2 linked regions of the Pelodiscus sinensis genome follow. The protein of the gene in region 1 interacts with the protein of each later gene in a pairwise test. Links are inferred from orthologs where the notes say so. Each region holds a gene or a part of one and is shown in the gene's direction. Other genes may lie near its edges. The genes, in order: FHL5 and CREM.

Region 1 (8,430 bases):
AACCAGAGAGGTAATAGTGATTAAGGATGGATTTCTTTTTTCAACAAACTCCAGTGAATTCTGCGCACACTATTATTTTTCATTTCATTTTCTAATGATTTGCAATAAAACTGTTAAGGTATGCACGTGATCTGTATTGGGTTTATAGGGATTTTTTTGAGGAGGAGAAATGGGGAATGACTTCTGTAGTTAATGTACAAGTTAGATTGTTTAGGAAACATTTGCTACCACACAGTTTCAGATGTGACTCCTAGAGAAGTTTCTTAAGGGGTGTATCCATATCCGTATCCACTGATATGGATACAAGGGGTATATCAATATCCATTACAAATACTGTTTTTATTCGAGGGAGTTTGGTCCAGAACTTTGTTCACTTTACCATATGTTTTTTTAAAAATATTCTGAAAATAGTAACCATTTTGAGTATCTGCTATAGTGTTTTTTTCTGATGTTAACCTATTCCAAGTGGTATTTGATATTATTTAGCTATATTTTTGTCATGCCCATTGTAATTTGTATCCTCATTTGTACATGGGGTATATTGTGTGTCTTAGAAAAAATATATGTAAAGAATACCAACTAAAATCTTGCCAATATTAGTTAAGTATATAATTTGTGTATGTCAGTTGTATATTTTTGAATTTGTTTTGAAGTTAGTGCAGTTTTAATTTAGCAAATCAGTTTCAACTTATCACTGGAATATGCAGTGATTATACTTGTTACCTAGCTGCTTGCATAAAATCAGGTCTTAATAGTAAGGCAATAGACATTGATATCCAGTGAAAATAATAGTACAGTAGTTCTAAGTATTCTTTCATTCTTGCCCAAACTCTATTAGCACTGAACAAAACCTTCTGTAAGAATGCTGTTAAGTTGCAGTGGTTGTTAAATTCCTGCAAGATGTGTGCAGAATTGTGCATTGGGTAGAAATCAACCAAAAATGTCCCCAAAACTTTGATTGCAACAAAAGAAAGGTGACTTGAGACTTTTGTGTTCCTGCATTTAGGCTTATTTTAGAATGCAGTTTAAAAAAACAGAATCGCTTATAAAAAATTACTAGATTACTGTACTAAAGTCAATAATATCTCTACAAAATAGCATTGGTTCTGTCCAAACTGTAATACAAAGGAGCAACTCCATCTCTGCCCTTTGGATTTAGAGGCAGAGACAGTTTTGTCCATCATCCTAGTTGGAAGCCTCCATATAAGCCTGTCACCTGGAAATAGCAAAAAAGAAAATATTCTGACTGCTTTCACTTTGTTTACAAAAATGGTTTGCATAAAATAAGTATATTTATTCTCTTGTTATTGAATGAAAATAGTTATAATTTTCCTATATTAAATGTACACACTTTTATATGGCATTGATTTTGTAAATAATACTCTACAATTTGATATTCTTTATGTAAATATAATTATTTTAATAAAATTAATGATTTAAGTGGTTAAAATAGTTTCTGCTGTTGACTTAACCATAGATATGTCGATTGGACTTGCACTTGTTGCTTGCAAACTACAGTTGTTAATGTGCTCCATTTAATTTGTTATACTTGCCAATTTTGTGTCCTCTTTTTTGCTTAAAACTGTTGTAATACATAATAATGAATTAATACAAGTCTTCTATGTAATGCAACAGATTTTTGTTACAAATATAGGCCACATGATGAGAATAATAAAAAGAACATTCTTTAAAATGGATAGGAAAGAAGTACTAATGTTTCGGTAGTGGTCTCTTCATAGAATTTTCAGTGGTTAATTATGAGAAACCTTCATTGGTGTTTCCATGCCAGAAAAAATAAGTATTGAATATCTGTCTATCAAGTGTAGAGGTTAACATTCCTAGATAAAGGTGTCTTTAATTACAAGAGAGAGGAATAAATAAAATATTTTCCCCCAAACACTGTGCTAATGATTTTTTTCCTGTATATGATTCACGTAGCGACTGGAAAAAAAAGGAAAGGATTCATTACTATTCTTAGGATTCTTATTTTAATTATCAGCTGTTTAGTTGACAAAGCTGCCTATTTCTTTTTCAGATAAATTTACAGTGTAGCTTAATTTAAATTACATTTTTAAAAAGAGCAATATCATGGACAAATTGCCCCCTTGTTCCACTCACTAAAAATACATGCTTCATAAAATTTCTTGTATGAAGTCTCTTCCAAAGACACTTGAAAAACGGGGGAGAGGAGTAATTAATCTGAGAAACTCTTGAGATTAAACTTCAAGAAGTGATGACATTTAAAAACTGTTGTAATTGTACTCAAAATTAAATGACTTGCATGAGAGCAGTCAAAGATTGCTGATGTAATCTAACAGAGCTTGTCCTGAGTTTCTGATATTTAGAACTTCTGCTAAAGCTTTCTGTATACCTTTCGATTAATGATTTAAATGGCTTCATGTTTTTTACCTTAAGACTTTTGTAGCCTTTTTGAGAGACATTTACTACTGTGATGGAGAGCATGGTTATAATTGGAACATAAAAGTAATGATCATCTGAAGCTTCTGGATTATTGAAATGCTTTATTGTGGGATCAGAATGCTTTCTGATATTTTAAATAGCTACTCATTTTTTAAAGTATAAGAATACATTAAAATAGGTTGAAGATCAATGTAGTAGTGAAATGGATTTTAAATTATTTTTCTGAATTGTCAGAGATAGAAACCTTGCTTAGAAAGATACATTTGAGTGAATCTTAAACAAAAATAAAGGGGAAAGAGCTCTTTGAGAGGCTCATGTTAATGGCAAATACCATGCTAATATCAGTGAGGGTAGAAGTGGAAGTTTAGGTCAAATCAGGGTGGTTTTGTTACCAGGTTGGTCAAATAGTTTATTAAGAAGGGCTATGTGTTATAGCACCTCGTTTGGGTTTAGAGAAAAGGGCACTTAGTTTTCACATTATCCACTAATTAATTTCACTTCATGCTCCTTATTTGTGAAGGTTTTCACTTTGCTTTAAATGCTTAAAAAGACAACTCTCTAGTAAGTTATACAGGTATAGTCTCCATTCTGCAAGTTTCTTCTGAGAAGAAAAAAAACATGAATTGAAGTTTGGAAAATGCGATGTTCAATGGAAAATGAACATATATTTCATACTCTTTCCTGAAAAGAACATACTATTTGTGTAATTTGGTGTGCTTATCACGAAGAAGGCTAGTTCATGTGGTATGGGCTTTAACCAGGCCACTACTTTGAGTCAAGTTACATCCAAGCATCCTGTCAGTAGACAGCCTTGTACAGTCACTCACGGCCCAGGGTCCTATTGAAGATCTACCACCTAGAAACTTTATTTCCTGGTATTTGCAAATTTTACCAAAATCTTTCAATGTAAGATTTATCGAAAGAGAGAAACAGAATTCTATTTCTTGGCAATGACATAATAATAAACAGCTCTTCTGTACACTTGACATGCAAGGCTTGATTAAGCCCAGAGATAAATTGGTTCATCATAGTGTAATCTAGGGAATATAATGGTGGAAAGCATGGTCTAGGGTCTGCAATGTCTCAAGCCACAACCAACAATCCTGTTTTAAGCTGCTTAATTTCAGCTGCTTAATTTTAACTGGATATAAAAAATTCACTGAAGGCTGGTACAACAGTGCAGTGAATGAACTGTTCTGTAGTGGGAGTGGTGGATAGTGTAACCTTAGCCCAAACACTGGTGTGGTTACCTCTGCTCCAAGTCTAATGCGGCCAGCCCTGAGATGAGCATTAAGAGAGGTCCAGAGAAAAGCCATTCACTTTCCACTGATATGAATCTAATCACCAGAAAACTGCATTGAAGGCATCAACCATCCCACTGTATAAATAACTAGCAGGAAGCTGTGATGTAATATTAAATCCCATAGCCCTTTCCTAAATTGGAAGGGTGTGGTATTTTAATGTCTCCCTTCCACCCCTACCCACAAAACCTATGCAGAATACAGGCAGTCCCCGGGTTACGTACAAGATAGGGACTGTAGGTTTGTTCTTAAGTAGAATCTGTATGTAAGTCGGAACTGGCGTCCAGATTCAGACACTGCTGAAACTGACCGCCAGTTCTGACTTGCATACAGAATCAACTTAAGAACCCCAGGCGTCCCCAAGTCAGCTGCTGCTGAAACTGATCAGCAGCTGATTCCAGGAAGCCCGGGGCAGAGCAACTCTGCCTGGGGCTTCCTGTAGTCAGCGCTGGTCAGTTTCAGCAGAAGCTGACTTGGGGACGCCTGGGGCAGATCAGCTGGGGTGCTGCCGGGTTGGTCCAGTAGTGCCCAGAGCGGGCGCTGCAGGACCAATTGGCAGCGCCCCAGCTGCTCTGCCCCAGAGTCCAAAACAAAAGCCTGGTCTGCTGGGAGGGGGGGGAAGCACACTAGCTGCGCCCCTCCCCCCCCCCCAGCAGACCAGGGACACAGGGAGCAGAGCCGCAGCGGCAGCGGCTCTCGCAAAGCCTCAGAGGCGAGGGACCCCGCCGCGGCTACGACTTCAGTCCCGGTGCCTGTGGTCTGCTGGGGACGGTCCCCAGCAGACCACAGGCTCCCGGACTGAAGCCGCAGCCGCGGGGGGGTCCCGCGCTTCTGAGGCTTTGCCAGAGTAAAGCCTCAGAGGCGCGGGGAACCGCCGCTGCTGCCGCTTCAGTCTGGGTGCCTGTGGTCTGCTGGGGATGGTCCCCAGCAGACCACAGGCACCCAGACTGAAGCGGCAGCAGCGGCGGTTCCCCGCGCCTCTGAGGCTTTGCTCTGGCAAAGCCTCAGAAGCGCGGGAACCCGCCCGGTGCCCCTGGTCTGCTGGAGACGGTCTCCAGCAGACCAGGGGCACCGGAGCAGCTTACGAACGGGGCTTTCTCGCCCCGACCTCCGGGGCGAGAAAGCCCTGTTTGTAAGTGCGGATCCGACGTAAGTCAGATCCGCGTAAGTCGGGGACTGCCTGTACCCCAAAAACTGTAAGCAGGAGTTTTAATGTTAATTTTGAGTTTTATCGAGTATCTTGAATGTTTTCAAAGAATCTGTGCACAAAAAAGCTGGAGATTAATATGTTCATTCCCTTCCCCGCCTTCCACTATAGATTTTTTTACTAAAGCGCCTCTTTCTAGGTCTTTGAAACATTGTCCTTGAAAAATGCTCTTTTAAGGATCTCCTCTGTGGTCTGTTTTTGTCTACCATCTGTAAACACAATATGACAAAGAATGATTTCAATCCAGTGACAAGGGAACCAGCTATTTGCATGTCATGAGGTCTAAGGGAAATAAACTGTCCCTCAGCCGTCTTCTACACAGCCAAAATTTGATAGGACCCTCAAATAGCTCTGGCAGAGTATTCTGTTTCTTTTGGACTTGATGAATGCTTATTTCTGTGAAAGCTAATCTAATTATTTTCCCCCTTTATTTTGCTACACAAGTCAGAAGAAGAAGCAGCTTGAACCAGTTGTGAGTATTATAGAAACTGCTTTTCCTTATTATTTCTCTTTCCGCTCTTTTAGTTGATACGTTTTAAAATATTTAGGTCAGTTGACCTGGTAATCAATTGAAAGTTTGTGAATTAAGCAAGAACTTTTTCTTTTCGGTCACTGATTAATTCTGATTTTTGTTTGTTTGTTTCTAGTAGTGTTTTAATAGAATTAGTTTATATAATTGATGGAATTTGTGACATAGACTAAAAAGAACATTGTCATTAAGACTGGCTGAGGCCATATACTTTGGTGAATCTTCTTTGGATTGCCTACAGAATTCTGTGAACATATTCAAACAAGATTGTTGCTGATTTCAATGAACTGTTTTCAATGTATTAATTTTTAAAAATTAGATAAGTAGGAATCAACCAATATGCTGTAAATTCTGTTTTCTTCTACTAGCCTACTTTCTTCCTACCTGCCACTGAGAACAAAAGCTTTCAACGAGGCATTTATGATGAGATACCTAAAGTTATTTTTGCTGCAAACAGTGGATTGTTCTTGTTGCTTATTTAATGTAAAATTAACTTGTTGGATTTCTAAGTTTACACATGATATAAATCTCAATCAACATTATTTCATTTTTTCTCCTCCACTATTATGTCGGAGTCTCAGCTTTTAAAAGATCTCTGCTACAGATTTTGTATTTACTGTACTAAGTACTATATTAAGAGGATGTGCCAGTGCTTAGTTAAAAAAAAAAGCACTACTTAAATGTCTATTTACACGGTTTGCATTAAAAAGCTTTATGGACAATGACATTGAAATTTTCTGTAACAGAATGTCAACAACATAGATTAATTGTTGTACTATCTGGTTTTATGTATGAAGTACATTCAGTCAATTTTTCTTTTACTAATGAGTCCCAAAAATCAAACTTTGATAAACACAATTTAAATTGTAATCACATCCCTGTTCTGAAATACACTATTTTGTATCTTTTTTCTTATTTTCAGCAGATTAGTTACATGCCTAAAGCTTGACATAGAACCTCTTATAGTAAGAAAATAACTTTGTGATGCTTGTCTTGTTCACATCTAACATTTATGCCCACATTTGTCTTCAGTATGTATGATTAGTTGACATTTCTTGAAGTATTTTAACAGAACAGAATGGAACAGATTTATGTATTAATGTTATCACATTGCTGACAGTCTTGCCATGTAATTTTATTGCACTGTCACAAAAGGCACTTTGATTTTAGATTGCATAATTTGCAGAAATTTAAGATGCTATACCAATCTTCTTGTAATAGTAAAAAAATAATAATGAAAAAACGAGTTGTTTGAAAAAGACTCTGATCAGTTTTGACCTATGGTGTCTCAAGGTTATTTGCAGGGAGAAAAGTTTAAGGATTTTATTTATTGGTTAATTGGTAGACATTGTAAGGTTCATAGTTAGTTGTCCTTTTAATCACAGTTGTTCTTTTGCTAATAAAGCCAGTGTTTTCAATTTTTTGTATTTTACTTTTATGGTTGAATTTTACTTCTCATAAAAGTTGAAGTCTAATAGCATTGACTAATTGAATATAAAGAGGGGGAAAGTGCAAACTCTCCAGAAGAATTCTTCTAATAATGGAAAGCTGAAGTCCAGGGGTAAAATACTAGATCTGTTCAAATCAATGCAAAACTTTCCTTGACTTCAATATGGCCAGATTTCACCTGGTTAGGAGCCAAGAACCTTAGGAACAGTATCCTCCTTAATTTGTGTAGAAATTTCCCGACTGGTTTGATGAGAGATCAGGTTGTGTAGTGCTCCCACTGAATCAAAGCCCTTCCAGTCTAGCGATCTGTGAAGCTCCAAATGCTGTGTTCATAGACAGTGGAATGATGCATTGCAACATACTTTCTACTTGTCTTTCTCTAGTAGATTTTTTTGGGGGGGAGGGGAAGGGGAGAGAGGTGGGTAGGAGTAGGGACTGGAAAGCATCCAAAAATGTTTAGATGGCTTTTGCAAATCTCAGCCCACATATTTAAACTTTACCTTCTTGTAAACTCGTATAGAATTGGAGAGGGGTAACATTAATTAAAGCGTACCAGAAATTTAATAAGGCAGCATATAAGTTATTCCACAAATATAGAGAATTTAATGGATACTTATATAAACTATCCATTAGAATTCTATAGCAGGGATATAATCTTCTATGAAATAGTACAGCGTGGTCCAAAAAAGTAGTGGGTCAATTCTCCTTATTGTTTCCAGATTCCTTTTCTTTGAGCTAAAGCTTTTCTTTGACTATGGTTAATATTATTCCTTCAAAAGCTTCCTTCCATTTGCATCTTGCTCTCTCACCTTCACAAACCTCTGCCCTTGAGGTTGTGCTGATTTTTAGTTTTCCCTTGTTGGATTCTTCATCATTTCAGTGTTCCTTCTTAGTTACCATCCCAGCTAAAATTCTAGAACTGGTAATTTTAATAGGGCTTCTGAAATACATAAGTGCTGTCCAAGGGGTTATAACCCTTTACACAACTTACTAGTTACTACTGAAATGGTATTTGTAACTTTTTATTTACTCTCACAACGTGAGGGTACTTCACCATCACCGATGGTTGCATTTTTACTGTTTTAATTTGTTTTGGGTAAATCTGATTTGTTTTACATTCATCAAAGTATTAATAAGATCTCTTCGTTCCATCAGGTATGGGACCTTGCTTCTGAGGAAGCTCCCTTGGCTCAGTGCTAGCCTTCAATCTTGTTCCCTCTTCCATGACTACTTCTGTAGTGGCACAATGTGCCTTTCTTCCCCCACCCCCAATACCTATGACCTTTTTTTCTGTCAGAGAATGAAACTAAGACAAAGGACATGGCAAAGGTAGGGCCATGGCTTTGGATTTTGGAGACAGGTTCAATGCCATATTCTATCACAGACTTCCTATGTGCCTCTGGGCATGTTAGCTTTTCTGTGCCTCAGTTCCCCATCTATAAAATGGGGATAATGACTCAGGAGTGTTGTGAGGATAAATTCGTCATAAATTCTGAAATACTGAGATACCATCGTAATGGTGG
Region 2 (8,550 bases), on another chromosome or scaffold:
AAAGCCAGTGCTAAACATCAATCCCAAAAGCTAAAATAAGCTTTGCAAAAACTAGATTAAAGCAATTGATAAATAAAATAAATGAATCACAATACAATTTCTTATATGCTTTTGAACAGTAAAAGCAGTTCTATAGAGGATTTCAGATTTCCTAACGTTGTGAAATTTAAATACTGCAAATTTAACAGTAAAGACACAGATAAGCACATTTACAAATGAAGAGTATACCTGTTATCCATACACTGTGCACAATCTCATTTCTGAATGGATACACAATAAACAGAGTCACAGTAAGTTATTATAACATCATTAATCAGACAGAGCAAATACGCTTATGGCAGTGGTGGGCATACTGCAGGCCACTTCTGTCTGGTCTGCAGCTGCCCTGGCTGCCGCACTCCCCCAGCCACTGCTTGTTCACTGGGACACTAGAGCCCTGTATTTCCTATGCCTCTCTCTCCTTCCCAGCACTTTTGGAGCTCGAACAACTGCAAACACCTGATTTGTTGCATTCCACCTGTTCTGGGAGGAAAAGAGAGGAGGGGGGATGGAGCATGAATGAGATGATTCACATGCTCCAAAAGTGCTGTGGGGGTGCCCAGTACGTGAGAAGTGTGTGGGGAGGGGCACAGAGAAGGAGCAGCAAGTGGAACCCCACTGGGCTGGGAGTTGTTGTGGCCCTCTTAGGTGAATGAGGGACACTCATGAGGTCTATATACTTCCTGCCAGCCCCATGATTTTTTCCTCACGACCTCCAGGGGGGAAAAAACACATAAATTTATCTTACTATAAATGACAATATATTTTTCAATCATAATTGAGAGAGGTGCAGCCATGTAATTATATGTTCATTTTAAGATAAAAATCCCATCTAATTAGTATCAGTGTATTTCTACATAAGTGTTGAAAAATAGTAACCAACCCTGTTGAAAAAAATTAACCCTATTAATATTTAATGTCAAAGTAACTCGCATGATGTGTAGCTAATTTGTAATTAAATTAGCTTAAAATAAAATAAAGCTTTGTGCAATGTTTCAGTTTAGGATTAAATCCATACATAAGGCTTATAAAATTACAATGATTTGAAAGCTCAAGTCTTCCTACAAACAAACGAACAAACTATTCCTGATTTTTCAACATAACACGATCTCTGTCATTAAAAAGAGCTACGATCATTGCTGTATATACGAAGCTGAAACTTAAATTTAATTATTCATGGATCATATAAGGCTTCCTTACAAATCTCTTTGGATGAAATATGGGGTGTAAGATGTTTTATTTTTATTACCATAGCACCTAGGAGCCCTAGCCATGGACTAGAAAAAGAGGTGCTTGAACTATTCCATTTTAATGGTGTTGCCAAAGTTGTTGTTGACTGGGAGTCCCAGTAAGTCTGAAGCCCAAGCCACATTCCACGGGGGTGAATCCTTACTACCTTGGGTTAAGATTACATGATCCCCACTCAGGGCAAATACCCTTGGACTTCAGCTTTGGCCCTGCTGCCCCACTGTAGCTGGGGTTCAGGCGGACTGTGTCTTCAGTTCCCCCTCCCTAGGTCATGTCATCTTTGTTGTCAGAAGGAGGTTGTGGTGCTGTGAGGTCTGAAAATCCACTGCACTAGAACCCCCGTGTTCTTTGTGCTACACAAGTGCAGAAAATGATGGCTCCTGCCCCAAAGAGCTTATCATGTATGTATATCCTTGTTTTGAAATTTAGGAGCAATGGATCTGTCAATACATTTCCATTGACATCAGTGTTTTGCCTCTAATCAAAACCGCTTAAGTTATAGGAAGAAAATGTCATCCATTTCAGTAGTCTCTAGTCTGAATTAATAACAGTTTGTTTCATGGTGCTTGCTATTGTGAACATTAACAGTTTTTTGGAAAAACCTATAGCTATTTTCAGATATGCCAACCAAAATAGGTCATTTGTCTTGTACTTTATATTATGCGGCTTTATACTGCACCTTTTTTTTAGTCAGGCTTCTTGTATAAGTTTATGCCAAGGGAACTAGCACACCTAAAATGACTACTTACCTTTTTTAAGCATTTGCTTTTTATAGGCCCAATATTTAGGTTTCATTTGACTGTCTCCAGACTTGGAAAAGGCAATTTCTATTCTCAGTTTAGCATTTTTGTTTCAATAAGTGCATGTTTTCATATGCTGTTGACATTTCAATTCATTTTCACTTGAAAATAATAACAATAATGGTTTGGTCCCAAGTAATGTTAGGAGAAGAATGATATTAACAAAACTCAGGAATACCACTAAAAGGACAATATAAAAAATTCAGTATGTTCATCTGTATCTCTGGAGTATGCCTTTGAATAGCTTCCCACACTTGGAAGTGGTGTTCTGCATTTAAGATTTACATTGTAATTTCCCATGAGTTTTACCTAAAATTTAGAGCATAATAAAAATACACTGTTCTTTGTCATATTTTGTAAAGCTGCAGATATCCTGGAAATAATTTCTTAATCATTTAGTTGTCCTCGCTCTTTACATAAGTTCAGTGCATACTTTTGAATGGAAATTGGTTATTACGAGTTTAACTTTCCATGCTATATGAAAGATTTGAAAGACCAGGGAGGATGATAGGGACATAAAAAAAAATTACAGCTTTTTTGTAGAAGGAGGTTCTTTCTAAGAAATAAAAGGTATTAACAAGACTACAAAAGAAGATAGGCATTTTCCTGTAACACTTCATTGCTTTTGTTTCAGTGATCCTTAAAACAACACACAGTGACATGTAGCAGCTAATGGAGTCTGTCTTTTCACCAAAGAGAAAAGTACTACATTTCTAACAGATGTATGTGTCCAGATTTAAAATAAATCATTCCCAAAGCAATAAAGTAGTAAAATTGGAAACGTCAGTTTCCACAGCATAATAGATCATCCCTGCCAAGAGAAGTCAATGGAACCTTTTTAGTAGGATGGGATAAATTTAGTAATTTTGAACTAAATCTTCTCTTAGAATGACAGACAATATTGGATATAAAATATGAAGTATGATTTTGGACCCACATAAGGAAAAATAATCTGGATCCTATTTTTTAATTCCAGAAGAAAGTTTTAGTGACTATGTTGGTAATGCATACTGATTACATTATTGAGCTTGTTATTTAAGCTGTCTTGATATATGGGGATGTCCTTTTGGATGTACATATTAAATAGCTAGTGTCTTCATAACTGAGTCTCAAGGGTAGTGGTGGGCAACCTGCGGCCTGCCGGGGCTCCACCTGCAACTCACTAACCCCTTTGCTGACCCACCTCCCTCATGTGCCTCTTGCACACTGGGGCACCAAAGTCTTGCAATTCCTACATCTTTCCTCTCCCTTTAAGCGCTTTCAGAGGAGCTGCAAAGTGCCAGATTCGTGCTCTCCCCCCCTCCCCCCCAGAGCTGGAATGCTGCAAATCAATTGGTCATGGCATTCCAGCTCTGGGTGAGAGGGTGAGGCCTGGGGACTGAGGATGAACCAGGCAATTTGCATGCTCTGAAATGCTGGGAGGGGAAATAGCAAGTAAGAGTAGGGCTCTAGTGCCCTAATATGCAAGAGACGCATGGGGAAGAGAGCAGACAGAGAAGCCGTGGGGCATAGGTAGTCTGAGGGCTGCTACGGCCCATTGAGGTGAAGGAGGGCAACTCATGCAGCCTCCCCACTATTCGTGGTTGCCTATCCCCGCTCTAGGGTCATAGTGACATTTTTGGGATAAAGGCAGCCATCTAGCAAGAAATAGTCTATTACTATATCAAGTATGTTCATAAAAAGTACAGTGATTCAGCAACATATGCTTCTCACTTACATGTGCTGCAAGGAGGAGTGGCTGGATACAGTAGGAGATCTTCAGAATAGCCTCTGAGTAAATCCAGAATTGCCCCCATTTAAAGTTATGCACTCTCCTCTGATTAAGATCCTGGTACATATTGAGCACCAGTGCTAATAGCCTGAGATTTTGACAGCACAATTATTTTATCATTGTATCTGGGGAAAGGAACTCATGAGAAGAAACAGGAATGCAAGAGGGGTGTATATTAAATATTGTATATTATGGATTGAATTTAAAACTGCTGTTAATATACTAAATAATTCTTTTCTAATAAGCTACATGAGAGAGACTACTTTAGTACATTCTTCATGGTGTGTATATTGACACCATTTGGGAACAAGCTAACTTAAGAGGAGCTTTACTTTAAAAGTGTATGAATGCTAGCACTCTGATCAATTTGACTAAGGCTGTGAGTCACTCAAGACCTAGTTACTAAGAGACATACAGGCAGTCCCCAGGTTACGTACAAGATAGGGACTGTAGGTTTGTTCTTAAGTTGAATCTGTATGTAAGTCGGAACTGGTGTCCAGATTCAGCTGCTGCTGAAACTGATCACTTTCAGCAGCGGCTGAATCTGGACGCCAGTTCTGACTTACATACAGATTCAACTTAAGAACCCCAGGCGTCCCCAAGTCAGCTGCTGCTGAAACTGATCAGCGGCTGATTCCAGGAAGCCGGAGGCAGAGCAACTCTGCCTCGGGTTTCCTGTAGTCAGCTGCTGGTCAGTTTCAGCAGCAGCTGACTTGGGGACGCCTGGGGCAGAGCAGCTGCGCCCCCCCCCCCCAGCAGACCAGGGAGACGCGGACCAAAGCTGCGGAAGACGCCTGCAGCGGGACAGCCCAGGCGCACCGCGGCTGTCCCGCTACGGGCGGCCTCCGAGGCTTTGCTCCCCGTCTCCCTGGTCTGACCAGCAGACCAGGGAGACGGGGAGCAGCTTTTCTCGCCCCGGAGGACGCGGGCGGCGGGACCGCGGCTCATCTGGGCGTCCCGCCACTCCCGTCCTCTGGGGCAAAAAAACCCCGTTTGTAACTGCGGATCCGACATAAGTCGGATCCGTGTAACTCAGGGACTGCCTGTACTACAACTTGAGATCAGCAGAAGAGTTTGAGAGGAAAGGAAGCTGGGCTTTTTTGTATATCCATTCAAGATGGTATCCTTAGAGATGTGAAAATTATCTGTAATTGTGCTTCTCTGATTATATCCTTTCATTTGATTCCTTCTCAGTGGAAGACAAACATTTTGACAACTTATTTTGGACATAAATGTGTAGTGTTTAAGGAGCTATTTGCTTCTCACTTGAAACAATGTCTCAGAGAGCACTGAGATACCAGGAGTTGGCTTGTGTATTAAAAATAGATATGGATACTTCAGAAGCTTCAAAACCATTGAAATAGGGTGTTCCTGCCCAAGAATAGGAATCGGATCAGATTATATTTTCAGAAAATTTAGAACGAATCTCCTTTCTTTGGTGTTTTCCCTGTATTTTCTATAATATTTGGTATTAACATATGCCAAACAAGATTTCTCTGTTAGTGTCCCACTTATCTTAGATCCTGCAGTGAAGGCTGTATACAGTTTGTGACATTGGTTTGTTGCTATGGTGATGATTATGACATCACAACTTCAACATCATAACTTCACTGCAGTGTTAAGCAGGAGAGAAAGTAAGCTGAGGAAAACAAAGCTCTTGTTTTAAACACTTCCACTTTTCATTATGAGCAAGTATGTCAAGAAATATAATGGGAAAACAACTGTAAGGTAATTGTGCTTTTGTGTAGCTGATATATTTGAATATAATCTCCCCTAACATAATCTTTCAGTTTATATGTTTCAATTGATGGATGTAACTTACCCAAATTTAGGTTTAAGATTTAAAGGATATAAAATGGTTTTGAAATATCATAAGAGAGTTGCTGATACCAATTTAAAAATCTATTATTAAACATCTGTCATTTGGTTCAAAACAAAATCTATTCAGTCTTCCGAATATGAGAACTTCCTGTTTGGAGTTATTCTAACAAAAGAAACAAGAATATAACCAAAATTATTTTTTGTCTAAAGTAGGATATTTCTATTTAGAGGGACAGAACAGTAGGATTTATGTACATACTTCTATCAGCATTCTTCAGATGTATCAATATTTTAAATTTCATATTCTGGTATCTCTCTCCAGTGGGCAATTTATGCAGATAAGAATGAAGGAAAATTATATTTTCATTACAAAACAAAACAAAACAAGAACAATCTAGATGTAGTGATGCAGAACAAATATTAACTTGTTAGGTATAATCTTGTGGTTCTGATTTTGTCCATTTCAGGGTACATAGTATCATGACTGTCTAACTAAACAGAATAAATAAAAGATGAAAAATTCTAATAAATTCTTCCTAGATACCAAGTTATCACTTCCACTTGTACTATACTGAGTCAATGCACTACCACTCCTTTAAAGAATTCTCTGAATAGTTGCCAGATATTTCTCCCTTGGGGTTCCTCAGAATGGTTTCCTTGTTTTTCCCAGTTAAAACAAGGGGAAACTTAGGATGATAATTTAATGTTCCTTCCATGCCTCTACTCCCAATACGGAAGGGGTGAATAGGTTTTTTTTCTGGAATCAGCAGTGCTAGACACAACGTTGGCTACGTCTACACTGGCCCCTAAAAACGGAAAAGGGATGCAAAGCAGGTAAGTCAGCATAGGGAAATCCGCGGGGGATTTAAATATCCCCTGCGGATTTAAATCAACATGTCCGCCGCTTTTTTTCCGGCTTGGGGAAAAGCCGGAAAAAAAGCGTCTAGACTGGCGCGATCCTCTGGAATAAAGCCCTTTTCCGGAGGATCTCTTATTCCTACCTGAAAGTAGGAATAAGAGATCCTCCGGAAAAGGGCTTTATTCCAGAGGATCGTGCCAGTCTAGATGTTTTTTTTCTGGCTTTTCCCCAAGCCGGAAAAAAAGCGGCGGACATGTTTATTTAAATCCGCGGGGGATATTTAAATCCCCCGCGGATTTCCCTATGCTGACTTACCTGATTTGCATCCCTTTTCCGCAATTTGTGGCCAGTCTAGACGTAGCCATCAGGTTGCTAAAGAATGAGGTTTTGCTTTCCTTATTCAGTGCTGGGAGTATTACCTACACATGCTCCATCTAGTCCTGACTAACCAAAGGAGTAAGCTTGATACCTAATTTACTAGTCTTGCACAGCAACATTTTTTGATGTTAGGGTACTGTTGTGTTGTTCTTTTGTCAATTTCACCAATTTCATCTAGGAAAATGAGGTGAATTTGGGAGTTGAGGAGAAAAATAATTTAACAGAGTTGAAATTTAAATATTCCTACTTCAGGTCTGAATTCATTTCCTTGCAATATATTATTTATTTTTAGACAAATGACCATGGAAATGGTTGAATCGCAACAGGATGGAAGTGCAACAGATTCTGTGGCAGAGAGCGATGCTGTTTGCATACAAAATCAACCAGGCCAAAGTCAGATTCCCCCCATAGCTCAGGTAATTTGACTTACAAGAAGCTGAGAAAAACAAATAAAATGATCATTTAGAATTGTAATTTGCATTTAGATCAGGGGTGGGGAACCCTTTTTGGGTTGGGGGCCTCTACCCACAGAAAAATCAATTGAGGGCCCAGAGGCTGTGGGGAGGCAGCAGGGGGGCTGGAGTGCCAGCACAGGCTCCCCAGTGCTGGAGGAGGCCCTACGCCTTGGGGGCCAGATCTAGGTAACCCAGGGGCCAGATACATCCTCTGGGCCTTAGGTTCCCCACCCCTGATTTAGATGAACATGATACTTTTTCTGTAATTCAAAATTAAATCCCCCTGTCCTGTATCAGGAATTTATTATTAAAGCAGCAATTTCATATTTAAAACAATAAAGGTATAGTCCCAAATGATTACTACTATGTTATGGACATGACAGCATATGGGCCACAGATATTAAAGCACATTATTTTAAGTCATCCTCAGAAGTAACACTTCAAGAGTTTCTCAGGATGGTTCTGCAGTGTTAGCCAGTAGATGGTTCTTCCATGTTCTTCGAAGTACTGCTATATAATAATAGTCTGATAATGGTGTCCTGTTAAGTTGAGGCATCTACAAGATTAGAGGAATCTCATGTGTTCTAAAAACTGCAGATGCTTAATGCAGCAACTTATGAATAGATGAAGATATTTTGTTCCCCTCCTCCTCCAGTACTCTTGTTTACTCAAAATGAGTCCAATCTTGCAGGTAAAACTTCTTAGAGTTGTTACTTGTGTTTCTGCCTTATGGACTTGATGACACTTCCTGTATTTTTTAAAAGAAATTTTAGATATTCTCTAGAAAAGTATTTTTCTGGTTAATAGAATGGAGATGACAAAATGTAAAACTTAGTTTGCTATATTGTGTGATCTCCATAAAGCCTTAAGATTTTAAAGAATGTATTCATCTATACTAAAAAGAAAATGCTACTAATATTTCAATATATTATACTGGCCAATAATTATATCTAAATTCTTTGAATACTTTACTACCTATAATACTTCACTGCCCTTCAACTTCACAAGCCTTGGGAAAGAGGCTAATCCTTGCCTATAGTCAGTCTCCTCAATTTGAAGCAAATCTTTTCTGGGAGATACACATCACACCTCACATACACTCACCCAATTACCTACCCCTGCAATAAATCCCGTTGTCAACTCTGTCCACATATCTACACAAGCGAGACCAACACAGGA

The links.
Region 2: the proteins of FHL5 (region 1) and CREM interact in a two-hybrid assay, tested with the Homo sapiens proteins (2 studies listed by BioGRID). The link is inferred for Pelodiscus sinensis from reciprocal best matches to the Homo sapiens genes FHL5 and CREM.

What each region holds. Positions count from the first base shown.
Region 1 is NC_134713.1:68,352,931-68,361,360, forward strand, and holds the start of FHL5 (four and a half LIM domains protein 5), read left to right. Parts: upstream 1-4,832; 5' UTR 4,833-5,315; coding exon 5,316-5,401; intron 5,402-8,430. UniProt on the Homo sapiens protein: May be involved in the regulation of spermatogenesis. Stimulates CREM transcriptional activity in a phosphorylation-independent manner.
Region 2 is NC_134712.1:232,001,002-232,009,551, forward strand, and holds the start of CREM (cAMP-responsive element modulator), read left to right. Parts: upstream 1-5,322; 5' UTR 5,323-5,542; coding exon 5,543-5,586; intron 5,587-7,208; coding exon 7,209-7,332; intron 7,333-8,550.